Linked DNA regions of Rattus norvegicus. The protein of the gene in region 6 purifies or fractionates together with the protein of the main gene of each other region. This does not show direct contact. Links are inferred from orthologs where the notes say so. Each region holds a gene or a part of one and is shown on either strand. Other genes may lie near its edges.

Region 1 (4,300 bases), on a different chromosome or scaffold from region 6:
TTTTCTGGATCATCCTGTGAGGGATGTTGTTGAAGTCCTGTTCTGGGCATGGGTTGTAGTTTGCATTCTTCACACTTCTGTCAAGAATCCTTGCAAAGATAATGATGGGTCTCCCACCTGTACTGAGCTGCTTCTCAGTTCCTAGTAAAATAATGATCAGAGCCCCTAAATTATCCCCCCAAGAATCCCTCAAAGAAACATGCAGAGTTAACCAACAGAGACTTGAGCTGGGGCTCCATGCTTTAGCCTCTTCACCTGCAAATATTTGGGAACAAGGAGACACAAGTGACTAGGAAAAGTGTGCATGTGTTGCGCATGGGCCTCCAGAATCTACATGGTAGACCTCAGGCTATTACTGGAATACCTACCATCCAGCTGTTTTAGATCAGCTCTTCAGGACTAAGGTTGGAAGCTGGAGGTTCATTGTTGCAGGCTTTTTCTTTATCATACCATGAACTCTGGGATTGTGTTTACTGGAAAAACCTGTTTCTAGTTGTGGTGTGACTCGGCCCTTGGCACACAACCTTTAATCCCGCTGGCTGGAATACAGACACGCCCTTAGAATGCTCCTTTAATGCCCAACAATGAAGGTCAGGTTAGATTGTAGAAGGTATCACCCATATTTGAAAATGATGTCTAGGGCTGGAGATATGGCTCAGTGGTTCACTGACTGTTCTTCCAGAAGTCCTGAGTTCAAATCCCAGTAACCACATCTCATCTCGTCTGTAATGAGATCTGATGCCCTCTTCTGGTGTGTCTGAGGATAGCTACAGTGTACTTTAAATAAATAAATCATTTTTTTTAAAAGTGATGTTTGAGTGTCCGACAAAGTGGGGAATTAGAGAGTTTTTTTTTTGTTTTTTTTGTTTTGTTTTGTTTTGTTTTTTTGTACAGAATAGGGTATGCCCAACTCTCATGAGAGAGAAGGAGGCAGTTTTCCTGGGACAGTTTTTACAGAGAACAAACTAGACACAGATGAAGACAGAATGTGCCAGAAGATTAGAACAGATTGTCAAAGTTAGTATGAGGCCAAGCAGAGCAATTGAGGAAAGGCTGAGAGAGAGAAGCCAAATTCAATCAGTTTGAGCCGGAACAGCTGAGTTGAACCAGCCAACCAGCGCTCAGAACTAGAAGGGGTGCGCTTATTCCGCAGTGAGTCTCAGAAGCTGAAAACCTTCTAGGCCTGAATTAGATTTTACAGAGGGTAGAAGTTTCCAGGCCTAGATACTGCAGCTCAGCAGCACCTCATCACCCAGTCCGGCTCACCACCATCAGGCTCCCCAGGTGCTGCCATCTGCCGGCACCATTAGTTTGCGTTTCAGCTAGGGAGATGTGCGCACGCGCAGAAGCTACACGGACAGCGAGTGCAGACAGCATGCAATTGGCTGGATGGGGAAGGGTCATCGGCGGTGACCAATGGCATGCGCGAGGCTGCCCGCCGCAGTGCCTACCGGGAACGTGTTGCCGATCGCCGGTTGCCCGTAACGGAGGAAGGGAGACGGCTTCAGATTGGGCGCCTGAACCTCGGCAGCGCCACACAGAGCCGCCGTGTGGGAGCTGAGCAATGCTGCTGTTCTGCCCGGGCTGCGGGAACGGCCTCATTGTGGAGGAGGGGCAGCGCTGTCACCGCTTCGCCTGCAACACGTGCCCGTACGTCCATAACATCACCCGCAAGGTGAGGTCCACAGGCCGGAGCTCTCCCTGCGGTCCGCGGGGCCCAGGGCAGGCGTCGGCGCGCTCGGACCTCCCCGCTGCCCGCTCAGAAATTGTGCGAATTTTAGTTCATCCCCCTACGCTGGACCTCGCAGATTCCAGTCCGCTCCTCACCTCTGATTTCAAATCCTCGGGTTCTTTAGTTGCTCGTTTGCTCCCATCCCCTATCTTGATTCCTGAGAATCTTCTTGCACGCAGTGCTGTCAGGTTCTTCCCTCCGCCCGAGTCGGTCTTCCCTGAATAACTACGCAGAGTGACGCACTTCTCGTTCTCGTCTCCCTCTTCCCCCGTCTCTGGTGCATGTGTGCCTCCCTGTTTCTCTCTCCCTCTCCTCTTTTAAAATAATGGCTGCCTTATTTAAATGTCAGCCCGTGCGGCTGTTTGTGCACCTATAATTCTAGCACTCGGCAGGAGAATAGGTTCAAGGCTCATCTGGGCTGCATAGCACACACAGAGCACAGAAAAGCCAAACCCAGTTCTTTCTGTTTATCCTCATTCCCTTAAGGTTTTCACAGAATTCATTGTCTTCTAATGTTTTATATCGTTGTTGCTACTTTGTGTGTGTAGTGCTTGTGTTGGAACCCAGCAAGCTGTGTTTCCAGCCCTCGGTGTTTTGTGTACCTTAATTCCCGTTCCTCTTTACCTCCGTGCCTTAGTTCAGTGACTGCAGTTGTGCAGCACTGGGCCTTGGTGACTCCTCGTTCCTAATGTTTGCACATTAGAGCTGTGTGGTAGGGGTTTAGAGTCAGGATTTGTGGTAAGATGAATTGTGACAGAATTTCTAATTTCCAGGGATGCCTGATAAACATAGGAAAGCATCCAAATGTGACCTGGGGTGCTGGTATACCCAGCTAAGTGACTTCATTTGTCTGTCTTTCCTGTTGGATTATTAGGTGTCCTAGGGGTATGAGAGAAGAGCAAGGTTTTACTAGGCTGTTTTTTCCTTTCAGTTCTGTCTGGTGTTTCCTTCGGTCTCTAGAGGTCTGAACCTCTAGAACCTCTGTTCTGTTTGGAGGAACATCCGAGTCACAAAACCCCTACATTTTAGTGACTCACACTGCTCTTTGAAGAAGACAAATTTTGTAGAGGAAATGCTGGAGGGAGTTGTGGCTTAGTGACCGACTTGTAAAACTGTACAATTACTTCCAATCTGGTGGCTTGTGTCTGTTAGGTAACAAACCGAAAGTATCCAAAGCTAAAAGAAGTGGATGATGTGCTTGGTGGAGCAGCTGCCTGGGAGAATGTGGACTCTACTGCAGGTGAGGATTTTCCCGTAACAGAGCCAGTGACTCAACCTTGTTTGTTATTACTTATTATTATATTTTATATTTATATTGTTTCGCTAGTTTGTGTGTGTGGTGCTTGTGTTGGAACCCAGAAAGCTGTATTTCCAGCCCTCGGTGTTTAATACTAATAATAAACTTAGTATTATAATGCAGTCCTGTCTGTTATTAGGGCCAGCAAGATACCCTGGTAAAAGCACTTGTTGCCAGATCTGTTAGCCTGAGTTTGATTCTTGGAGCCCAGATAGTAGGAGAGAACTGACTCATGGGAAGATTTTGTACCACCCTCCATGCACACATGGGCGTGCACAAGTGTAAAAGAACTTAAGAAGATGTAAATAACAATGTAATATCAAATAGCTAGTGCATGAAATATTTTGGTGATGTGTTTTAATTACAGTGTAGGCACTCTAAAGTCTTTTACATTTTTGTTGTTGTTAATTGATTTTGTTTTTTTGAGACCTGGTTTCACTGTGTAGCTCTGAGTGTCTTGACCTCGGAGATCCACCTGTCTGCCTCCCACATGCTGGTACTAAAGTATCTGCCACTGACACCTGGCTGTAATAACATTTTTTTAAAAGTAGATTCTTTCAAGGATTCTTTAAAGCAAAGTTACTATAGTGATACCTGAACCGTTGTTTCATTTAGAGTCTCAAGTCCGATGTGGACAAGTATAATTAAAAAATAAATCTGGCAAATATTCTCTTTTTGAAGCAAATTTAGAGTTCATTACAAAAAATTTCAGCATTGATTTATATATAGTTGTTGGGAAGGGGGGATCCATGCTCTAGTGGGTGTGGACTTCTCATGAAAATTGTGTTGTATGTATTTTCAAATACCAACACTGAGAAAATGATCAGCCCTAGTCTTTTATTTTCATTTCGTTTTATTTTTTATTACATGGATTTAAAAAAATTATAACTGTGGACGAAGGATGGTTGCTCAAGCTTATGATTCCAGTTACGATTCTGGTGCTCTCTGAGTGGAGGCAGAAGGCTCAGTGCTTATCTGGGCTTTTTGAGACCCTGGCTCAGCCATTCTGTCAACCGATAAATAGCTGTGGGGTAGGATTTCAGTGGTTGAGAGCATGGGACTGGGTTTCCTTCCCAACTTCCACCTGGCAGCTCAGACCTTCTGTACTTGTACTTTCAGGTGATCTAATACCCTCTACTTGCATCCAGGGACACTGCATGAACGTGGTGCACAGACTACCCAAAGGCAAAACATGCACATAAAATAATTATAAAAAATTAGGGGGGGGGGTTGATATTTGCAACTGGAGGTATTAAAAAGTAAATGTTTAC
Region 2 (3,500 bases), on a different chromosome or scaffold from region 6:
TTAACTGGTTAACCTTCTCATTAAAATTTCAGACAAGCGGAACTGGAAGCTGCCCTGCAAAGGAAGGTGGAGTCTGAGAGGAGAGCTGTACGCCTCGTAGAGCAGCTCCTGGAGGAGAACATCACAGAAGAATTCCTGAAGGAGTGTGTACGTACCAAGTTGTCAGATTACCAGATTTAAAGTATAAATCTGTATTTAAAGACTCCTTTGTGTATATGAGCATTGTACTTGCTTGACAGCTTGACAAACAGAGGAACAAAGTGCAGGCAAGTCAGACACACAGAGGAAAAAGCCTCTGCTGAGGAAAGGCCTCCGTGAGATCCAGCCGTAAGCCATGTTCTCAATAAGTGATCAATGCGGGAGGACCCATCCTGTGCTGGGTGCTTCCATCCCTGGACTGTGGTCCTGGGTTCTACAAGAGAGCAGGTTGAGCAAGCCATGGGGCAGTGAGCCAGTAAGCAGCACTCCACCATGGCCTCTGCATCAGCTCCTGCCTCCAGGGTCCTGCCCTGCTTGAGTTCCTGTCCTGATTTCCTTTGGTGATGAGCAGCGATGTGGAAAGGCAAGCAGGATAAACCATGTTCTTCCCCGTTTGCTTTTTGGTCATGGTGTTTCATCGCAGCAATGGTAACCCTGACTAGAGCAAGTCGATGCCACAGTGCTGCATTGCTCTGACAGACCTGACATGTTTTGGGGAGGACTGGGGAAGGACTTTGGAACTTTGGACTAGGGGAGCCATTGAGTGTTGAGAGCTCAGTGGGATGTTCAGTGAGAGCTTGGAAGATAAGAATGCTGAGAACAGTGCAGAAGATAAGAGGCCTGACTTGTGAAGTTTTAAGTCTTGGACCATTTGCTATTTTGGATTACGATTCTGTGGTTCTGGTCGGCTGGGGCTACAGCGCCAGCTGTGATTAACAAGAGACCAGAACTGCTAAGTTGAAACCTTTGCTCTGCTGGGATACTTGATGTTGGTCAGCTGGAGCTGAGGAATCAGTGGTGATTAAGAAAAGGCCAACATTATTGAGGTGAAATCTTCTGGGAAGTGTTTCCTGAGAGCACAGAGAAGCTGTGTCCATAGGTGACTGCGGTTGTCCCTTGTCCTGGCAGCCAGACTTGGTTACATGTAAGAGTCACCCAGGTGGTACTGGTTTTGAAGGCATGAAGGGGTCATAGAGAGCAGCTGAGGCTGGGCAGGAGAAGCCATGAAAAGCCACTGGTGAAGATGCAGCCCAAGACTGAAGGGACCATGCAAAGAGGTTGAGGATTGGCACCAGGAGAGAGCCTAGGAGAGGCTATTGGTGAAAGTGCATCTCAGTTGCAGCTGAAGACCCCAGTGTTTCGGAGGTGCAGGGACTATGGGAAGACCACCACGGACAGCAGCAGCAGTGGCGGGGAGCCAGCCAGAACTCAGAAGGCAAGCTGTGTGTGCTGCAGAGAGCAGAGCTGGAGAAGTGACCCAAGCCCTTTGGAAGAGCCCAGAAGATTGTGAATGGATCCCAGACATTGGACAGTTGGAGTCTGATTTTTTTTTTGATTTGTGACTGTGCTCTGATTTTCCTTCTTGGAGTAAGAAAGTTATTTTACTGGATGGAGCCCACAGTATTTAACTTGGAGACTTTGAATTTTAAAAGACTTTGGATTTTTAGAGAGATTGGATATTTTTAAGGGACTGACATCTTAATGTGCTTTAATTTGTAAAGACTGTGGGACTTTAAAAGTTATTTTTTTTTAAAGATTTATTCATTTATTATATATAAGTACACTGTACCTGTCTTCAGATACACCAGAAGAGGGCATCGGATCTCTCTACAGATGGTTGTGAGCCACCATGTGGTTGCTGGGAATTGAACTCAGGACCTCTGGAAGAGCAGTTGGGGCTCTTAACCTCTGAGCCATCTCTCCAACCCTATTTATGTTTTTAATGTGAGATCTTGGGAATGGGTAAGAAAGGAAGGATTATAGCTTAACAGTGATCTGTCTGTGTGTCAAGTTGACAAGGGTCAGTTGTCCTGGCTGGTTTTGTGTGTCAATGTGACACAAGCTAGAGTCATCAGAGAGGAAGGAGCCTCAGTTGAGGAAATAATTCCATCAGGTCCAGCTGTAAGGCATTTTCTCAGTTAGTGACCAACAGGGGAGGGCCCAGCCCATGGTGGGAGGAGCCGTCCCTGTGCTGTGGTCCTGGTTCTACAAGAAAGCAGGCTGAGCAAGCCAGTAAGCAGCACCCCTCCATGGCCTCTGCACCAGCTCCTGCCTTCAGGTTCCTGCTCTGCTTGAGTTCCTGCCTGACTTCATTTGGAGCAGCAATGTGGAAATGCAAGCAGGATAAACCTTTTTCTATTTGGTCATGGTATTTCACAGCAATAGAAACCCTAACTAAAACAAGTGTCTTCTATGTATGTGCACTAGGAGTGTTCATTCAGTGCCCATAGTCCAGAAGTGGGCGTTAGATCCCTTGGAACTGACATTATAGCTGGTTGTGATCTGCACAACATGAGTGCCAGGAACCAAACTGAGGACCTCTGCAGGGCAGCGCATGCTCTTAATTATTGAACTGTTTCTCCAGCTCCATTTTTTTTTTTTTTTTTTTTGGTTCTTTTTTTCGGAGCTGGGGACCGAACCCAGGGCCTTGTGCTTCCTAGGTAAGCGCTCTAACCACTGAGCTAAATCCCCAGCCCCCAGCTCCATTTTTTTTAATATGTTTGTATAGCACATATGAATGCATGGCACATGTGAATGCATACCTGTAGAGTCCAAAAGAGAGCACCATTTCTTCAGGAGCTGGAGTTACCAGCAGTTGTGAACAACATGACATGGGTGATTGGGAACCAAACTCAGGGTCTCTCGCAGAGCAGTAAGCATTCCTAAACACTGAACCATCTCTCCAGCCCCCAAATCTAATGTGTTTTAAGTCTATGCAAAATAAAACTTTGCACTATTGAAATCTTAGTCCTTAGACACAGATAACATGATGCATGAGAATACAGGAAGGTATGGCTATAGTCCATGTAGTGCATTTTTAAGTTTCTTTGCATCTGGTTAGTGAAGGCACCATTCATGCCATGACCCCCATCTGACACAGCATGCACGTGGAAGTCAGAAGGCAACTTTATGAACTCAGTTCTGTCCTGCCCTCGTGCAACGCAGAAGTGGCAGCAGGCACTTTAGCCCTCAGAGCCATCTTGTCAGAAGTGTTTAAAATCAGTGTTACAGTATAGACACTTCTTGATGTGCTTTTCCTTCCTGTGCTCCCAGAACTCTCACAGTCTTTGGGAAATGCCCTTTGGTTTCTCCCCAGGGGATGTTCATCACACCGGCTCACTACAGCGACGTTGTGGATGAGCGGGCCATCATTAAACTCTGTGGCTATCCTTTATGTCAGAAGAAGCTAGGGGTTGTAAGTACTTTTCTTCATAAAGTGCATTTATTAATTTTTACAAAACATCATAGAAATAGTAAGTGAAGCCTGTGGTCATGAACTAGTAATAACTTCGATTGGCCAA
Region 3 (2,312 bases), on a different chromosome or scaffold from region 6:
TTGGCAATCCGGCATGTAAATCATGGCTCTGAGGGGTTTAGAAGTGTAAAATACCACATTCTGAAGACTTAGGTAAAAAAAAACCTTTATTACATTTTGATTTAAAATATTTGGGCCTGAAGTACATTAATATCTACTTTTAAAACTATTTTAATGTAAGTACTAAAACCTTCAAGGTTAGTCAGCTCTCACATTCCCACAGGAGGAGTACTAGCTCCCTTCCCTACTTAAGAAGCTGGTGTTCACTTTCCATCCTCCTTCCCTTCCGCTTGCAAGTCTGCAGCGAGCTAAGGCCACTCTGTGACTGTCCCTGTGTGTGTGGCGGCCTCAGCAGTGTGAGCAGACCAGTCTTCAGACCAACCTTGCAAGGTCAAAGTGAGTATCACCTGGTGTGATGGCGTCATGGTCTCCCTTCTCTCTCTGTACTGAATGCTTAGACAGCACAGAGGACATTTTCTTCCTGCAACTATTTGAGGACAGCAGCACCATGATGCCAGTTTAGTGTTAGCATTTATTTTAAAAATACACAAAATATAATTTTTTTTACATCAAAGTGATAACCTCGCTTACACACTGTTCCACACTTACCTGGTTCCATTTGCACCTTTATGCAAACAGTAGGAGACGATGGAGTTAATAGAATGTTTGCTATGGTCTGTGTAAACAGTTGAGACCGCTACAGAAAGCAGGCTGCTGTATAAGGTAAAGTGGCCTTAGAAACCCAACAGTAAAATGTTCAATTTGGTTTAATAAAATTGGCAGAAGTCTTAGCAGAGAGAAACTCTAAGACTAATTATTAGCTTCTAGGCATTTTAAATATTAAAAACCTTAAGGTTCTCTTCATCTTGTAAACATAACTTTAACTATGTTGGCATTCATTTAAAAGAGGAAAATATTAAACCATGATTTTCATAATCCTGCCCATGTCAGTGTACACTCTCTTTATTATGAGAATGAAACCCAATAAGCAAAATACATCAGGAATTTCAAATTGTACTGCAAAGAAGGCCCGGCTGGTCTCTGTTGGGAGCGATCTCACTTACGCTGACCCTGCCACTGGCTGAGTGTGAGCCCCTCTGTCCTCTGGGCCAGGCAGTGCCACAGGCCACCAGGTGGGCAGATCCTCTTCCTGTGTCTTGAGGCAAGTCGAGACTACGTGTGGCTCTGCCGTCCTTCCCTGGGCTTGGGTTCGTTGAGTTAGTGGTTTGCTACTATTGTCAGGATTGTACTGTCCCCTTAAGGTACCACATGCCACCACAGCTTACACAACAGTCCTAGAAATTAAGAAAACTGGGTAAGGGCAGGTTCCGGCAGGAGAGAGCTATTGCTGTCACAGCCTGACTCACGATTAGCGGACAGAGTGCAAACAGGACATCAAAACCTGCCTAAGTGTGCTGTTGGGTAGCCGCTTTGACCCTATCGGGTTTCCAGCCACCATACCTCAGGGACATTTTAAGATGTGTTACAGATTTTGCTGTATCAACAGAAAAAAACTTTTCAAGTTGACTACGACAAGGGACATATTAATAAGGCCTATTGTCTACATGACTAAAGGTAACAGGGAATGGGGCAGTGGCTTTCTGTGCCCACCTCTACAATGCACACAGTTCATGAGAGCATTCAAAGTGTTTTCACATTAAGCAAACAGAAACTCCTCTTTGTCGTTGTTGTTTGGAGGCACGGTTTCTCTCTGTAGCCCTGGCTGTCCTGCAACTCACTCTGTAGATCAGCCTGGCCTCAAACTCAGATCTGCCTGCCTCTGCCTCCTGAGTGCTGGGATTAAAGGTGTGCGCCACCAGTGCCAGGCAGTATCCCTTTTTTTTTTTTTTTCTTTTTTTTCGGAGCTGGGGACCAAACCCAGCCTAGCAAGCGCTCTACCACTGAGCTAAATCCCCAACCCCCAGTATTCCTTTTTTAATTAAAATTAAAAAAAAGATTGTACTGTCAATTATACAAGTGGGTGCAAGATGATGTACACCTCCTCATACCCAGTCCAACTCTGCGGCATGAAAAGGCTCACTTTCCTGCCAGGGTACCAGTGCTAGTCACTGCCAGTTGATGGCCATCAGACTGGTGGGCACTAGGGCTAAGCTGTTCTGATTTACTATATACACAGCGGGAACAAAGATACCAGACACAACCTTTCCACGTATGTGTGTCCTTAAAACAACAGGTCAAAGTCACAGCCTAGATGCTCTGCGTGACATCTTGTGCACAATGGACATACCTTTAGCACTTTATCCACCTCCTGCTTGCTTAGCTCTTCTCCACATTCTTGAGTCAGCCGAGACTGGATCATATTCCGACGTACT
Region 4 (3,934 bases), on a different chromosome or scaffold from region 6:
CATGTCTTCTTCCTTGGGGCCAGCAGAAAAAGGCTTAACGTCTGGCTCTTCACTCTCCTCCTTGAAAAGCCACCCTGAATGAGCCAGTGGCAGTTGTACTGGCATGTTCCGTGTGTCATTCTTTAGCCCTGGGTCATCGATGAACTGCCAAAGAGTGGGGGGGTCACATTAAATGTCAGCATGTGTGCCTATGTCACAGCCCATTTCAGGACCTGTCACTCCCTCTCCTTTGTGTGTATATGTCTCACACATGGAGGCAAGCAGTCTTTCCACGGAGCTGCATCCCCAGCCCCACCTTAGTGCTCCTGTGACCAAAAGCCCAAAGATGTCCCTGGCCTGGCTTCCTAAAAGCCCTTGTTAGCAGATACAAAGAAACCGGTCCCCCAGGCTGCTGGAACCTACATCATCCTTCTCCAGCATGCGCAAGATCTGCTTGGTTTCTTCATCTGTTTCTCTCTTCTCTTTTTTGATGTTGATGATATGAGAAGGCCCCATGTCTGACATATCCACAGTCTTATCCCAGTTCCCTGCAGGAAATCATGCCGTTCACTAGGGTTAAATCAGGGGGACAGCAACAGCAAGGGAAACCAAGCTAGGAAAGGAGAATCCCATGTTCTGCTTTCTCAGGTGGTCTGACCCGCAATCCAGATCCCTTCCTGGTACCTTTTTTTTTCATCATTTCTGCTGGACCCTGCTCAAAGATGGAATGGGACTGGATCACTTCTGGGCGGCCACGTCCCCGTCCATGACCCTCACGCTGGCGGTCTCTGTCCCGTTCACGCTTTTCCTTCTTCATAGTTACTTCTTCCTTTGGCCTGGGGATGAGGACAGATATAAGGGTCTGCCTCAGGAAACAAACCCTCCTCACCCACCTCATTTCAACCAACTGAGCAGCGTTTGCAAGCCAGAAAAGAGACCATGAGAATCACAAGCCAACCCTTTGTTACACCTGCTGTTACACCTGCTGTTACACCTGTTGTTACACCTGTTGTTACACCTGTTACATCTGATAAAGCACGGCCTTTAATTTCCTCTCACTTTACCTCCTTGTCCAAAATGTGGGCTTTCTGTCCTGTTTTTGCCTGGAAGTAGAAAGACTGGAAAGCAGAGGAACTTAAGAGGAGTATGAAGAGCTTTGCTCCACCTCAGCAGAATTAGGAGGAAGCTGAGGTGGAACCTACTGGGTGGTTGTCCAGCTCCTGAAGGAGGACAGAAACTCAGCCCTTTCCTCTCCTTGACTTCTTTCTCCCCTTGGGTATTCTCTGACACCAGCTCACTGCCATACCATAGACCCAAAAGCATAGAACCACCTCATCACAGACTTAAACCTCCAAAGCTTGGACGTCCAAAATGAAATGCCCCTCTCTGTAAGTTGATATCTCAGCTATTCATTGCAGTCAGACAAACAGATGGATGGATTGACAGACAGGCAGGCCCTCTAATGCAAAGTGCCTCAGAGCCAGGCATGGTATACACCCTAATCCCAGGGCTCAGGACATAGATCTGAGAGGCAAGCAGATCCCTGGGAGTTCTAGGCCAGCAATCTACACAGTGAGTTCCAGGATATGAAAGGCCATGTAGAGAAGCACTGTCTCAAAAGCAAACATATCTCTACATAACCTGGGATTAAAGCATGAGATCCACTGGTGAATAAGCCAATGGCAAAAAGTTAAAATTCCCAGGCTGCACACCTAATTACTTCCTCAAACTCAGAGCAAAAGAGGGTGAGTGGTGTTCATTAATCCTATGTACTTACTCTTCTTTGATCTTCCGACTGATGATATTTGGGGTGAAGGTTTTCTGAAAAGTAAAATACAGTACTGTATTTTCGCAGTGCTCAACAGACCAACAATTCTGGGAAGGCTTGGAGAGACAGATCTGCCAGCACTGACAAATGGATGACACAGGGAGACTACCGTAGCTTTATCCTGTTTGTTCTGCTTTCTTTTCAGAGTACTCTTATATCTACTGTTATGCACATAATGGGAGAGGACAAAGAGCAGTTAGTTACCTGCATGCCTAAGATTCATTCATCACCACTAGATTATTTGCTTCCTTACTGACATCCACAGAGTTATGAACACTCTACCAAGTAAAGCAATTTTGTCTGACTTTCATGGGAGTTTGTAAGGTGCCCATAACATAATAAGCACTTCCGAATGTCTTGAATTAACTAGGTTCTCTGCCTTTTAATTGCCTATGAAACCATGTCAATGTCTTGTACCAGCACCTAGGCTTGAAGGTCTCTCGCTAGAGGCTGACATCCCATCAGGGACAAATGGCCGTATATGAATGAACATCACGAATTGCCTCCCTTCGGCCTGGAACTCAAAGCATTTGGGTTTCTGTACAAATACACTCGCCGGTACCTTCTTGACACCGCCAAGGGTGAGGTCCCGAGAGCGGATGGAGGGAAGGCGGCCTGGCGTAAGCGGGGGAGCGGGCCGCCGGCCCACAAGTCCCCGGCCCCCAGAGAGAAGGGGTCGGGGCCCTCCAGGATTGCTGGGCTCGCCCGCGGCGTTTCCTTCCGACATGGTTCCTAGAGGAAAGTAGGCAACAAAGTGACTCCAAGGGCTGGATGCGAAGACCCTGGGCGGAACCCCACCCACGTAATCCCCCTCTGTACCCCCCCCCCGTCCGTGCGTCGTTCCCGCTGCACCACAGCTCCTCCCAGTCCCACGTGGCGAGGTTTCCCGGAGCGCCCCACCTCTAGCTTTGGACTCGTCACATGCCCTCTCCCCGGGACTGCATGACGTACCTGCGTTGAGGCTCTACGCCGAGTTTCACGACCTCACCTCTAACGAGACCAACCACCGGCCGCCGGTCTCACGGCAAGGCGGAAGTCTGCGTGGCAAGAACCGGGGGCTGCCATCTTACCCTAGGGCGGAAGTGACATCAAGGGGGCGTGATCGGACCATAGTATTTATCAGACGGTGCCTCGCTGTCCTCCGCCTTCTCTTCCCGGTTCTTCCCGGAGTCGGGAAAAGCTGGGTTGAGAGGGCGAAAAAGGATATGGGAGTGGATTCTGAACTGTGCGGGGGTGTGACTCGTGGGGGTGTGTCTCTGCTCCTGGATGACAGTGCTAGTGCGGTCCACAGGGTCGGGGGGGCCTCCTAGGTCGCCTACCTGCTGTACGGGGTGTACTGCGCAGCCTCTGTGAACAGTGAGGTCGGCTCTCGGGATGCATCTCCGGACATAGGGAGCCTTGCCCTCAGGCCGAGGCTGGCTGCAGCTTCCCTGCATTGACCTTGGAGTGGTCACTGTACCTTCGGGCTTGTCCCTTTGCTCGTGAGCGCCTTCCTTTGCGGATCCCTGAGGTCCTAACGCAGTTTGGACAGAGCAGCCAATAGCTCTTTGCCTATCTGGGTTCATGATTGCTTAGTCAAATCTGGAAAGAGCCTGGAACTGAAGTTTGCTCTTAAAGTGGGAGTTTTTGTTTTTTGTTTTTTTTTGGTTGGGAGTGTGTGTGTGTAGTGTGTGTTTTTAAGACAACACTACTCTTGTAACCCTATCAAGTCTGGAACTTAAGTAGACCAGGCTGGCCTCGAACTTGGCAGCAGTCCTGTCTCTTCACAGACACCCCTCAGGGCACAGATTACAGATGTGCACCACCAATCCCAGCTTAAAAAAATTTTATTGTAATGGATGTATACATTTAATATATACAAATATATATAACTTAATCTGTGGGGAAAAAGTCATTTAATGTTACACCACAGAGATCCCCAATACGAATTAAAAACATTATGTAGTTCTAGGGAAGGAACCTATTTCTGCTAGAATTCCATAGACTGCTAGCATTAAAATATTAGTGATGTACTGTAACATTGTGCCACACAATACTGTATCCTTTGTTGGAAACAAATGACCAATAGGAGTATATATGTATATATATGTGTGTGTGTGTGTGTATATATATATATATATGTATATA
Region 5 (3,500 bases), about 92 Mb from region 6:
ATGTTAGATTCCCCTGGAACCAGAGTTACAGACAGTTGTGAGCTGCCATGTGGGTGCTGGGAACCGAACTCGGGTCCTTTGGAAGAGCAGCCAGCTAACCACTGAACTGTCTCTGCAGCCCACACAAAGGTTTGTTGTCCTGGTTTAAATCCACATTTTACACATTTAGTTGTATTCAATCATTCTTTGTTGGTGGTTTGAGAATTTGCATTCCTGTGGTTTGGGCACAAAACCCAGCAGACCACAACCTCGCTGACAAGAAGCAGAAACTGTGGATTGAAAAGCTTCCGGGACGAGAGCCGGCTCGAGCCTGCCCTTTGGTCTTCGTGGTGCTCAGGGAAGGTAGGCAGGCGGCCTGACAGCAGCACCGCACCATTGTGTGCCATGCCAGCATGCCACTCGGCGGCCTACAATGCTTTTCTGCAAGGAGAGTCGTTTTGAACTGCTTGGCTAGCAGGGTTGTTGGAAATTGCTTTTGTTGCTCTTGATGGAGGCCATGGGGAGGGTTTCAGAACAGTGGGAATAGAAACAGCAGCAGGGAGATCCCAATTAAGTACTGTGTTCTTCCCTCCTGCCCATTTGCTTCCCGTGCTGTGAAATCTCCTGTCCCCCAGGTGTCTGCGGCCTGATCGTCCCCCAAGAAGACATGCCGTTCTGTGACTCTGGCATCTGTCCCGACATCATAATGAACCCTCACGGCTTCCCATCGAGAATGACGGTCAGTCACCTTTGGGCTTTTTAGCAGCACTGCTCTGAGGGAAAGAAGCAGGCAGTTAGTTTAGTTACACTGAGTGGCCCCCTGACGGATAAACGGACTCCTTGCCCTGTCCCTCACTGTCCTCTGGGACACAGAGTCCTGTGTGCTGAGCCTACCTCCATGTCTCTTTGAGCAGTCACTTCCTGTAATCTGCAATCCTGTCGCAGGCCAAGGGGCCGTGGCCACAGTGCTTAGCTCTGTACTTGAGTTTCAATATCTGAAAACTAGGGAATTCAGTCCGGGAAGTTAGTCCCACAGGCCAGGGTTCTTCGGCAGGATACCCAGGAATGCTGGTGTTGGTAATGTTTCACTATCGCTGGGTGTGGTTGAAGCTGCTTTTTCAAAACATAAGCCAAAGGCAGGGATGCTGGGAGAACTGACAGCCGGGCGGGCACTCACGTAGTCTGTCCCCTTCCTGTCTCACAGGTTGGAAAGTTGATTGAGTTGCTGGCCGGCAAGGCAGGCGTGTTAGACGGCAGGTTCCACTACGGCACCGCCTTTGGAGGGAGTAAAGTGAAGGACGTGTGTGAAGACCTCGTTCGCCATGGTTACAACTACCTGGGGAAGGACTATGTCACCTCGGGCATCACCGGGTGAGTGTGCTGCTAAACAAATGCTAGAGATCGGAGGTGAGGGCCTGAAGAAGCGGGCCAATGAGGTATAACATTCCCAGACTGCCTTAGTGGGAAGGAACGAAGCCTCGCTGCTTTAGGAAACCTGATCCAAGAAAGGCCACATTTAAGAAGCCAGATATTGAGGACCACTAGTTGTGTGGTAGGACTGTCATTTTTTTTTTTTTTTTTTTCGGAGCTGGGGACCGAATCCAGGGCCTTGCGCTTCCTAGGTAAGCGCTCTACCACTGAGCTAAATCCCCAGCCCCCAGGACTGTCATTTTAACAAGCTTGGATTTCTGCGTTGCTTTTGTGGACTACGTTAACTGCATCTGATGCAGTGTTTCCCAGACTGCTAGATTTGTGTGGAGCACCAGAGACAGTGCTTGGTTTCATACCCTGGAGCCCGGTGCTCACATCTAATATGTGCTACATATCGAAGGGACTGCAGTAAATAAAACCACAGAGCTGGCCAATTCGATTTGTTATTGGACGTGGAATAGTAGCAAACACAAGGTGATTTCCAGCAGGCCTTCAGTGACTGCCTGCCAAGCAGGTGGTTGTCTGGTTTGGTTTGGCTTTGAGGTTTTTGTTTTTGTTCTGTGTTGCCGAGGATTGATTCCAGGGCTTCATGCATGCTTAGAAGCACGCCATGACTGAGCCTCACCTCTGCCCACTGACTACCCAATTCAACTCCGCTCTGGTGCTGCCTGTCTCTGCCCCACTGCTCTCCATAGCCGTCGGTCCTCAGATACTGCTGTCTGTCTCCCAGCTGAGACATAGCCTCCGTGAGAGCAGGCTGCCATGCTGTGTCTACTGCTCGGTCTCCACAGCCTACCACAGCACCTCACAGCACAGCTTCAGTAATGCCCGGCAGGCAAATCTGAGAACCAGCGCTCAGTCATGAAGACGAGGAGGAGGAGGAGAGAGTGTGTAAGACATGGAGGGACAAAAGCTGTGCCCTTCAGAGTGTTGCACAGAGGAAAGTACACTTACTGAGTAGACCCCAAGAACTGGTAGGTGCCCACCCAACTGTTATTCCAGAAGGAGGTAGCTGTACAGCCTGAGGTGAGGTTGGACAAGACAGGGCGAAGGGTCTAGCTGCCATCTTTGAAGGACACAAGTCCATGCAACTACTGTGGATGACGAGGTCTTGAAACAGCCCACATAGAATGTACGATCAAATGGTCTGTATGGAACCCTGTGACACATAAAATACCCAGGGGGCGGAGACAGAGCTCAGCGGTTAAAAACACTGGCTGCTGCTCCACAGGACCCAAGTTTGGGATCCAACACCTTCTGGCCTCCAACCATGGACATGTAGGCACTCGCCCGTGCGCACACAGAGTGAGTGAGTGAGGAGTGAGTGAGTGAGCGAGCGAGTGAGTGACTGAGTGACTGAGAGAGTGAGTGAGTGAGCAACTGAGTGAGTGAGTGGGTGAATGAGTGAGTGAGTGAGTGAGTGAGTGAATGAGTGAGTGAGTGAATGAGTGAGTGAGTGAATGAGTGAGTGAGTGAATGAGTGAGTGAATGAGTGAGTGAATGAATGAGTGAGTGAATGAGTGAGTGAATGAGTGAGTGAATGAATGAGTGAGTGAATGAGTGAGTGAATGAGTGAGTGAATGAGTGAGTGAGTGAGCAACTGAGTGAGTGGGTGAGTGAGTGAATGAGTGAGTGAGTGAATGAGTGAGTGAGCGAGCGAGTGAGTGAATGAGTGAGTGAGTGAGGAGTGAATGAGTGAGCAAGCGAGTGAGTGAGTGACTGACTGAGAGTGAGTGAGTGAGTGAATGAGTGAATAGGTGAATGAGTGAGTGAGCGAGCGAGTGAGTGAGCGAGCAACTGAGTGAGTGAATGAGTGAGTGAGTAATGAGTGAGTGAATGAGTGAGTGAGTAATGAGTGAGTGAATGAGTAGGTAAATGAGTGAGCGAGCGAGTGAGTGAGTGAATGAGTAGGTAAATGAGTGAGCGAGGGAGTGAGTGAGTGAACCTTTGTATTAAGACCTCAGGGTCACGCTGGAGCATGGGCGAGGACATGGTGCTTAATGTATTACTATGAAGAAGTGCTCCAGAAGGGAGAGCGCCTGCCCGCAACCCGTTTCTGCTGGAAATATGGATCCAGTGCTTGTGCAGAT
Region 6 (3,473 bases):
GCTGCCTTGCCCAACAGGGCTCTGCCTGGGGACAGTGGGGGATCACTGCACCCCCACGCTTCCTGCTAAAGCACCGCTCCTGAAAGGGGATCTGAGTCCTCGATAAGAGCTCAAGGCAGGTCCCTAGGAACAATGGCTGGCTTGATGAAACCTGCTCTGTGATACTCCTGAGAAGGGAGAAGCCCCTGCAGCCAGTCCCCACTGGAAAGGAAATTGGGGGTTTCCGTGGCAACCAGCTCCCTGGGCACAAAGACTCATCTGTCTGCTGAGAAGGCAGCTGAGGTGTCTCCCTGCAGCAGCTTTTGCTCTGGTGCATGGGGAGAGATGGAGGGATGGGATGGGGGCCCTGGTGCTTTAGAAAGAGCTAACAGTCACAGGGTCACCTCAATGTATGCCCATCCTGTAGTAGGGCAGGAACAAGAAAGCAGCAGGTGTCAGCATGCAGGCAACAGGGGCAGAGGGGGTGTGAAGAGTGAAGTTTATTATTTACATGTATAAAATGGGCATAGAGATGGTGCCTGGCACAGCCTGACAGCTCTGCTCAGTCGCTGATGATGAGCTCATCCACGCCCCAATCCTCATAGCTTCCATCTGGCAGGTAACGGCGAATGATGATGGGGATCTTCCGGGCCCTGTGTGGGGAGAAGTCGAATGAAGTGAGAGCTGGTGCCCTGGCTCCCAGCAGAGAACAGGTGGTAGTAGCACGTGTCACAGAAATGCCCTCCCTTGGCTCCCGGGGGCTGGCCATGCATGAGCCACAGGTCTAAAGAGGCCCGAGATACTCTGAAGGAGGGGCAGACTTACTTGAGTTCCTTCATGGCGATGAGCAAAGGGTCTGTCTCCCCCTCCAGCTCCACCATTACTGGGGCACACATCCTGCAGAGACAGAGAAAGATTGGAGAGACAGCAGACAAGGCTCAGAGAAGGTGGATCTGCTGTCCTGATCCTCATCTAGCAAGGTCACCTGGACAGGCAGGCCTGGTGGCAGCAGTGTTCAGGGAGCCACCACTGAGCAGAGGGAAGGCTGGCAGACTGGATTTAAACTGTGCCTGTAAGCACAAGTCACCGAATTTCTCTCCACATCCCAACAGCCTCTTCTAAAATTGAAGAAGAGATCCCTACCTCACTGGGGAAACAATGACAAAAACCAGATAGCAGACAGGCTCTGCACGCCAGACACTGACAGCTACCTGCCATGACCTCTGCCTCAGTGGGAGAGGCCTACTTTGACTTCCACTTTACTATCATGGAAACTAGGTACAGAAAGGTGAAGCTCTAGTGTACAGGAATGCCAGGGTGTTGCGGTGGGAGTGGGAACATCTTCATAGAAGGGATAACATTTGAAATGTAAATACATAAACTATCCAATATAAAAGGTGTCCTGCCCCAGGTCACGTAGGCAGAGAGGCAGAGCCAAGGTCTGCTCCTCACCACTGTGCTGGGATATGTCCCAGGTAACATACTGAAGTCATCTGCATGTCATACCCCATCAGAGAAGGCCCTGCATAGCAACACCCCCAGAAGAGTGACACTCTTCCAGCCTGGCCCCTCATTCAAGCCAGAACAAACTTCCATGCCTCCCCTAGGTTATGGTTAAGTGTCCCCCAAATTAAGATGACGACGGTATTGGAGAAGGAGCTCTTAGAAAGCCACAAAGGGGCTGGAGAGATGGCTCAGTGGTTAAGAGCACTGTCTGCTCTTCCAGAGGTCCTGAGTTCAAATCCCAGCAACCATATGGTGGTTCACAACCATCTATAATGAGATCCGATGCCCTATTCTGGTGTGTCTGAAGACAGCTACAGTGTACTTATATATAATAAATAAATAAAAAAAAAAAATTAAAAAAAAAAAAAAAAAGAAAGAAAGCCACAAAGGTGTGACCACCATGATAGCCTAAGTGGCTTTATTAAAGGAAGAGAAATCCAAGCTAGCAAGGTTGCTCAGTTCTACCAAATAACAGCACTCTGCCATATTACGATGCAGCTTGAGGCCCCACAGGTGAGTTGCCATGTTCTTGAACCTTCTAAGCTCCAGGACTGTGAGCCAAATGTACTAAGCCAGAAGCCTGTCCTCTGGACTTCTGTCACAACATGGACAACAGGCACAGATCCCTTTCATTTCTACTCTCTGTCCTCACCCACCTCTGTCTCCTTTTTTTTATTTAAAGATATACTTAATTTTTTTTTTTTTTATGTGAGCACTCTGTTGCTCTCTTCAGACACACCAGAAGAGTGTCCCATCGGATCCCATTACAGATGGTTGTGAGCTGCCACGTGGTTGCTGGGAATTGAACTCAGGACCTCTGGAAGAGCAGTCTGTGCTCTCAACCATTGAGCCTTGGGAATCTGTCTTCTGTGCCCCCGGTGAGTTAAACATGCGTTTCTTGGCATCAAAGCCACCATACTACTGTCCACACCAGACTATGAACATCTGTCTGGTGGCCCAGAACCACACATGATCCACTATGAGGGCCCAGGCCCCAGCTAATGCTTGGTCCAAGCAAAACTTCCAATGGCAAACAAGGGCACATCAACTCCAGGCCTGTCTCCTGCAGACAGACGCTTCTAATAACCCTGGACAGCCTGACGCCAATAGATTCAGACTTACGAACAAGCATCCAAAATCAAGGGCCAGTGCCTTCTCCAGGCCATAAAAGACCAATGATTTTCTTATGTGTATGGGTGTTTTGCTTACATGGAGGTTTCCAGTGCCTTTGGAGGACACTGGATACAAGAGCACCAAGTGCTCTTAACTGCTGATCCAGACAGAATCCCTCAGCTCATGAGGGGGTCTGAGAATTATACCTTCAGAGGTACCTGGGTGACTCTGGGGACCACCTTGAGACTGACATTTATTAGTTTGTGACTAAATATTCTGGTCTCTGCTAATCCTAAAATCCTGAAATTTTCCAAAGAGCAGAAACCAAATGTCTTTTCTGACATAATGAAATGTCCCCAAAACTTGACGTATAGCTCAGCAGTAAAACATGTAAGGTCCTGTTTAGTTTGCCATACATACACAGAGTGCTTTACATAAGTAACCATTGACCTGACCGGCCGTGTCCACTCTCTCCTCACATCACAGCAGTAACTGAAGGGCATCGCTCATCAGTGCCCCACAGACATGCAAGCGCAGGCTTTGAAGTGACTGTCTTGTGCTGCAGCTACTAAAATAAACATGTCACCATCATCCAGTGAAGATGAGGTGAGTGACATCAGCCAGCAGGTGGCGCACGCAGGCCAGACTGGACTCGCCAAAAGCTATCCAAGATGGCATTTCATTCAGCCCCTAAGCAAAGGTACAGCCCAGGCCTCAGTGTACAGAATCCAGCCTGGCTGTGCTTGAACAGAGGGCATGGGCTCCCTAGGGGAAGGAACACTAAAGCCCGGACTAAGCAGGATCCATCTTACTCCCACAGAGTATGACCATCCAGTTGGCTTAGACTGAGTTGTCAGGACGCCTCACTCCTGTGA
Region 7 (4,260 bases), on a different chromosome or scaffold from region 6:
CACTTGGTGTGGTTGTTAGGAACTGAACTCTGATCCCCTACAAGAGTAACATGAGCTCTTTGTTGCTAAGCCATCTTTCCAGCCCCCAAATCTGAAATTTAAAATGCAACATGGACAAGTTCGCACTGCCCCTTCCAGCTCAGAACGCTGCCTCAAAATTCCCATTTGGAATCTGTTCCAAGAGATTTAAAAATGGGCGTTATTCAAGAGACCAAAGTCTATCCTAACCATCTCCAAACACAACCACCTGGAAAATGGTGAGTTCATCTCTACAATTCTTCCTAGATCTAAAATGTCATGAGTTATGATTGTGACTTAAATGTATCATCCTCGTGTACACACAACCTTACACATTTAAGGAGATGAGTAAATGTTCAACTAGCTGGAGGTCAGGGGAGACAGCAAAAGCCAGGTCACAGTATCTCTCTGAAGAATGACCATTAGCTGTGTGTTCCCTAGTCTTCTCCTTTCTTCTGCATTAGCTCAGGCCTTAGCATTGCTCATCTGACCCTTTGAAACATGCTAGACATTTTATGTCCAGATTCCTATCATTCTCAACCAAACTCTTGTCAATTTAATAGAAGGCAAATCTTTACACTTCCGATATACTGTTCTCTTCAGTTTAACAAAGCTCAGGACATTTAACTTCTGCTTCTCACCAAGTAACTGACTGTTGGTTTTCTGCCTCCCCAGGGAGAGTCTTTGACCATCCACTGGCGTCTTTATGAAGCCCTAACCCTAACCCTACCTCTGGGTCAAACCATCCTCTCTGCTGGAAATAGAGAGGTGAACAAAATAATGTCTCTGCGCTTATGGAGTTCACGGACAGGAGAACCTGTCAGAGCCTGACAGATGGTGTGAAAGTGAAGCAGGAACCAGGCCAGATAAACTAGTCATTTGGGACTATCTGAGCATAAATTTAATTAAGATGAGAAACAGAGTCATATTGAAAAGAATAAAAGAGTCATCAGAAACTGTAGGTCCAAAGGCCTCTAGAGCTAGGCACAAGCTGGATAATCATCACTGAATTATTTCTGAGCTCATGACCACAGAACAACACTGTGCCATCTTACCGAGTGCCTCCCTTCTGCCGCAGAAGCATAAAGTAAAGAGGGCACTGTGTTTCTCTGTGGAGAACACCTTCTTAGGCAGAACCCAATTTTTGCATTCATGATGCATTAGTTAACAAGTATTTGTGTACAAGTGTCAGCTTCCTCAGATTCTTGAGAACTCAAATCAGACTTTTCTTTAAACAGTTTTCTGCTTGTCACACATCATTTAGTTCAGGCACTAGTGCTAAGAATGGTCCCAATTGCATAATTGAATAATAGATGAGATTAGCAAAATACTCAAAAGAGCAGCGACCTGCTCCCACACCCACTGGAGAGTTTGGGAGTGTAGGAAGAATGCATCTCTCCCTCCAGGAAAGACTTATGTGCCACAGGAAGGATTTTGCTAATTATCTTTGATAATGCTGTCCCCGTGGGTCTCTTTATAATTTCTGAAGGTTAGTCAAATTCTCAAGGGAATTTCTGAATCTGAAAGAGATGCATCGGTAGCTAATGGTTGGGGTGCAAGCACAGGGACTTGATACTGACAGTGGGGGTGATTTCGGTTGCTTGCAAGGCCACACCCAGTGATTATCCACTTTCCCTGTCCCCTCAAAGTGATCTCTGCCTTGCCTTAAGCTCTAACCTTTTCTGCTCTCTTCAAAGAGCAAGGAAACACCCAGAACTATGACGGGCATTTAGGATCTCCTTAAAGAAAAATTCTATCACCAGCCCCTCTCCCCACTATCAAAGGTGCCAACAGTTAAGAAAAAAGAAGCGATGATAAGTATGCCCTTATTAGCCAAACTGCCGCCAAACTTTACATGAACAAAAACCACAGTCCCCGGATTTGCAAAGTCTTCTCTTGTAAAAGGATAAACTTCCAGCGTGAGGCTGGAAGATCTGGCTACCAAAACTTTTAAAGGTTTGGAAGCCGGCAGCAGCAGGCTTTGGGAGGTAGGGGTACAGCCCAAAGTCACTCCAGAGGGGCTTTGATGAATTTTGGCTCCAGATTATCGGACCACCACGTTCTCCACGTGCCCCATCAACTCCCTTCTACCCTCTTCACCTCCAGCCCAGTCCGGGATAGTTTCCAGTTACCTTCTCACCAAGTCTCGAGGCTTGGGCACACTGTGCAGCGATGGTGGCAGGAAAGCTGGCAGTCGCGCCAGCAAGGAGCAGCAGATTCCACCTCCGGAACAGCGAGAACCTCACCGCACGCGGCTCCGGCTCAGGGTAGCGCACTGGAAGCCCCGCCCACTCTACGAGGCCACACCCCCGGAAAGGAGCTTTTTAGCCCTTGGCAGGCGCCGTAGTCAACCTCCAACTGGCTCGGCCTCACTCTGGCCTCCCGCTACGAGTGCGCAGCGCCCGCGGCCCGTGTGGGGGCGGTCCTGTCTCTTCCCACGCATCCCTCCAGGCCTCTGCAGTCGGAACCCCGAGCAGGGCAGCATTGCCCGGTGTCTCCGCCCCGCTTCAGCGGCCTGTGTCACCGCCTTGGTGCTGCAGCTGCAGAAGCTGCGGCAGCTGGGGTGCAGTCTTTGCGCTCTGCGGCTTGGACGGGAGGGCGAGGAACAGGCGATCTGGGCAGTGTCGCTGCGTCCTATCCGCGCTCCCTTCCGCATCCCCGCCCCTCGATCGCGCCTCCTCCGGAGCTGAGAGTAGCTCTTCGCTCACTGCAGCAGCGGCGAGTCCTGGACTGCCTGTGGGAGGCACACCCACCTTGCCCGGCCGCACCCCTGCGCATCGGCATGTCGGCACTCGAGTGGTATGCCCACAAGTCTCTGGGCGATGGCATCTTCTGGATTCAAGAACGGTTCTACGAGTCAGGCAACCGGGCCAACATCTGGCTGGTGCGCGGCTCGGAGCAGGACGTGGTGATCGACACGGGCCTGGGGCTACGCAGCCTCCCGGAGTACCTCTACTCCTCCGGCCTCTTGCAGGATTGTGGTGCCAAAGAGGATGCAGGACGTCGGCCGCTGCTGGCCGTGGCCACCCACGTGCACTTTGATCACTCCGGCGGGCTCTATCAGTTCGACCAGGTGGCTGTGCACCGCGCCGAAGCCGAGGCCCTGGCTCGCGGGGACAACTTTGAGACCGTGACCTGGCTCTCTGACAGCGAGGTGGTGCGGGCGCCCAGCCCTGGCTGGAGGGCCAGGCAATTCCGAGTGCAGGCAGTGCAACCCACCCTCATTCTGCAGGATGGTAATAGGTCCCGGGGGCGCGCGCTGTCTCTGAGGGAGGGGCTTGGCGAGCGTGTACAGCTTGTTGCAGACCTCCGTGGCACTGTTGGGCTACCGTGCGGGAATACTCTGACTCACCCTTTGCTGCGTGAAAGCCAGCTTGGGCAGAGCCTAGGCCCACTCAGTCTTCTCTGCCAGGAGATGCGCGCTGCTACTGTGTGGCTGTTTATTTGAAAGCTCACACCATCCCCAGTCAGTCGGCTACGGTAGTTACACTGCAGAGACTTGTGACTGGAGATATTCCATTCTTTTCCCAAGTACCAGTTGAACATTTCCAGCTTTTGTAACGAGTAGGCTTTTAAGATATGGCACCTTGTGGAGAGTGTTAGGCTCTGTGCTCTGAAAACTGCTGACTTCTGCTGCCTGCGCACTGCTCACCGCAGAGTGCCTCAGTCTCACCTGTAGACTTAGAGAGCTTTCGTCCATCCTTACCTTTCAGATGGATTTGTTTGCTTATTGCCTCTCAAAAAGAAAAAAGGCTTGATGGTGGACATGAACGTAGAATTATGACAGCTATCTGGTCTGGATGAGAGCGAGGCCTAAGAACGATCAATAAGGGAGTTGTTTCCCATGGATAAAGTGTGTGCATTAATTAATGCAGACTTCATTCTCTTGGTCCTAAGAAATTGATAAAATGGAGCAAGATAGAGTAGGGTCCCAATCCCCTTCTCCCCATGCAGGACTGCACTAATTGAACTGGTTAGCGACAACAGCAATACTTGGTATATCAATTTTATATTTTTTGCCTTAGGATTTATTTATTTACATCCCAAAAGCTACTCCCCCCTCCTGCTCCCTCCCTCACAGAGACTCCCTCATCCCGTCTCCCCTTCTGGGAGGGTGGAGGCCCCCTGGGTATCCCTTCCCCCACCCCCAGCACATCAAGTCTCTGCCAGATTAGGTGCATCCTGTCTCACTGAGGCCAGACAAGGCAGCTGTGGAGACTGAGCTGCAGGTCTGCTACATCT

The links.
Region 1: the proteins of Polr2f (region 6) and Polr3k purify together in Homo sapiens (affinity purification with mass spectrometry; 5 studies listed by BioGRID and IntAct, with this or other methods). This does not show direct contact. The link is inferred for Rattus norvegicus from reciprocal best matches to the Homo sapiens genes POLR2F and POLR3K.
Region 2: the proteins of Polr2f (region 6) and Rpap2 purify together in Homo sapiens (affinity purification with mass spectrometry; 4 studies listed by BioGRID and IntAct, with this or other methods). This does not show direct contact. The link is inferred for Rattus norvegicus from reciprocal best matches to the Homo sapiens genes POLR2F and RPAP2.
Region 3: the proteins of Polr2f (region 6) and Polr3e purify together in Homo sapiens (affinity purification with mass spectrometry; 4 studies listed by BioGRID and IntAct, with this or other methods). This does not show direct contact. The link is inferred for Rattus norvegicus from reciprocal best matches to the Homo sapiens genes POLR2F and POLR3E.
Region 4: the proteins of Polr2f (region 6) and Polr3d purify together in Homo sapiens (affinity purification with mass spectrometry; 5 studies listed by BioGRID and IntAct, with this or other methods). This does not show direct contact. The link is inferred for Rattus norvegicus from reciprocal best matches to the Homo sapiens genes POLR2F and POLR3D.
Region 5: the proteins of Polr2f (region 6) and Polr3b purify together in Homo sapiens (affinity purification with mass spectrometry; 5 studies listed by BioGRID and IntAct, with this or other methods). This does not show direct contact. The link is inferred for Rattus norvegicus from reciprocal best matches to the Homo sapiens genes POLR2F and POLR3B.
Region 7: the proteins of Polr2f (region 6) and Polr3g purify together in Homo sapiens (affinity purification with mass spectrometry; 3 studies listed by BioGRID and IntAct, with this or other methods). This does not show direct contact. The link is inferred for Rattus norvegicus from reciprocal best matches to the Homo sapiens genes POLR2F and POLR3G.

The regions. Positions count from the first base shown.
Region 1 is NC_086021.1:189,358,849-189,363,148, forward strand, and holds the start of Polr3k (DNA-directed RNA polymerase III subunit RPC10), read left to right. Parts: upstream 1-1,500; 5' UTR 1,501-1,564; coding exon 1,565-1,675; exon of another isoform or gene 1,676-1,677; intron 1,678-2,884; coding exon 2,885-2,972; intron 2,973-4,300. UniProt on the Homo sapiens protein: Core component of RNA polymerase III (Pol III) which synthesizes small non-coding RNAs using the four ribonucleoside triphosphates as substrates. Can mediate Pol I proofreading of the nascent RNA transcript.
Region 2 is NC_086032.1:2,325,655-2,329,154, reverse strand, and holds part of Rpap2 (RNA polymerase II subunit B1 CTD phosphatase Rpap2), read left to right. Parts: intron 1-32; coding exon 33-147; intron 148-3,295; coding exon 3,296-3,394; intron 3,395-3,500.
Region 3 is NC_086019.1:184,923,727-184,926,038, reverse strand, and holds the end of Polr3e (DNA-directed RNA polymerase III subunit RPC5), read right to left. Parts: coding exon 2,228-2,312; intron 1,275-2,227; coding exon 1,218-1,274; 3' UTR 501-1,217; downstream 1-500. UniProt on the Homo sapiens protein: DNA-dependent RNA polymerase catalyzes the transcription of DNA into RNA using the four ribonucleoside triphosphates as substrates.
Region 4 is NC_086033.1:51,923,153-51,927,086, forward strand, and holds the start of Polr3d (DNA-directed RNA polymerase III subunit RPC4), read right to left. Parts: upstream 2,801-3,934; 5' UTR 2,759-2,800; exon of another isoform or gene 2,708-2,758; intron 2,540-2,707; 5' UTR 2,535-2,539; coding exon 2,370-2,534; intron 1,801-2,369; coding exon 1,757-1,800; intron 816-1,756; coding exon 664-815; intron 528-663; coding exon 403-527; intron 145-402; coding exon 1-144. UniProt on the Homo sapiens protein: DNA-dependent RNA polymerase catalyzes the transcription of DNA into RNA using the four ribonucleoside triphosphates as substrates.
Region 5 is NC_086025.1:20,939,634-20,943,133, reverse strand, and holds part of Polr3b (DNA-directed RNA polymerase III subunit RPC2), read left to right. Parts: intron 1-614; coding exon 615-718; intron 719-1,183; coding exon 1,184-1,350; intron 1,351-3,500. UniProt on the Homo sapiens protein: Catalytic core component of RNA polymerase III (Pol III), a DNA-dependent RNA polymerase which synthesizes small non-coding RNAs using the four ribonucleoside triphosphates as substrates.
Region 6 is NC_086025.1:112,599,537-112,603,009, reverse strand, and holds the end of Polr2f (DNA-directed RNA polymerases I, II, and III subunit RPABC2), read right to left. Parts: intron 877-3,473; coding exon 805-876; intron 633-804; coding exon 542-632; 3' UTR 501-541; downstream 1-500. UniProt on the Homo sapiens protein: DNA-dependent RNA polymerase catalyzes the transcription of DNA into RNA using the four ribonucleoside triphosphates as substrates.
Region 7 is NC_086020.1:13,718,988-13,723,247, forward strand, and holds the start of Polr3g (DNA-directed RNA polymerase III subunit RPC7), read right to left. Parts: upstream 2,801-4,260; 5' UTR 2,151-2,800; intron 1-2,150. Other genes in the region: acyl-coenzyme A thioesterase MBLAC2, read left to right, coding at 2,801-3,254. UniProt on the Homo sapiens protein: DNA-dependent RNA polymerase catalyzes the transcription of DNA into RNA using the four ribonucleoside triphosphates as substrates.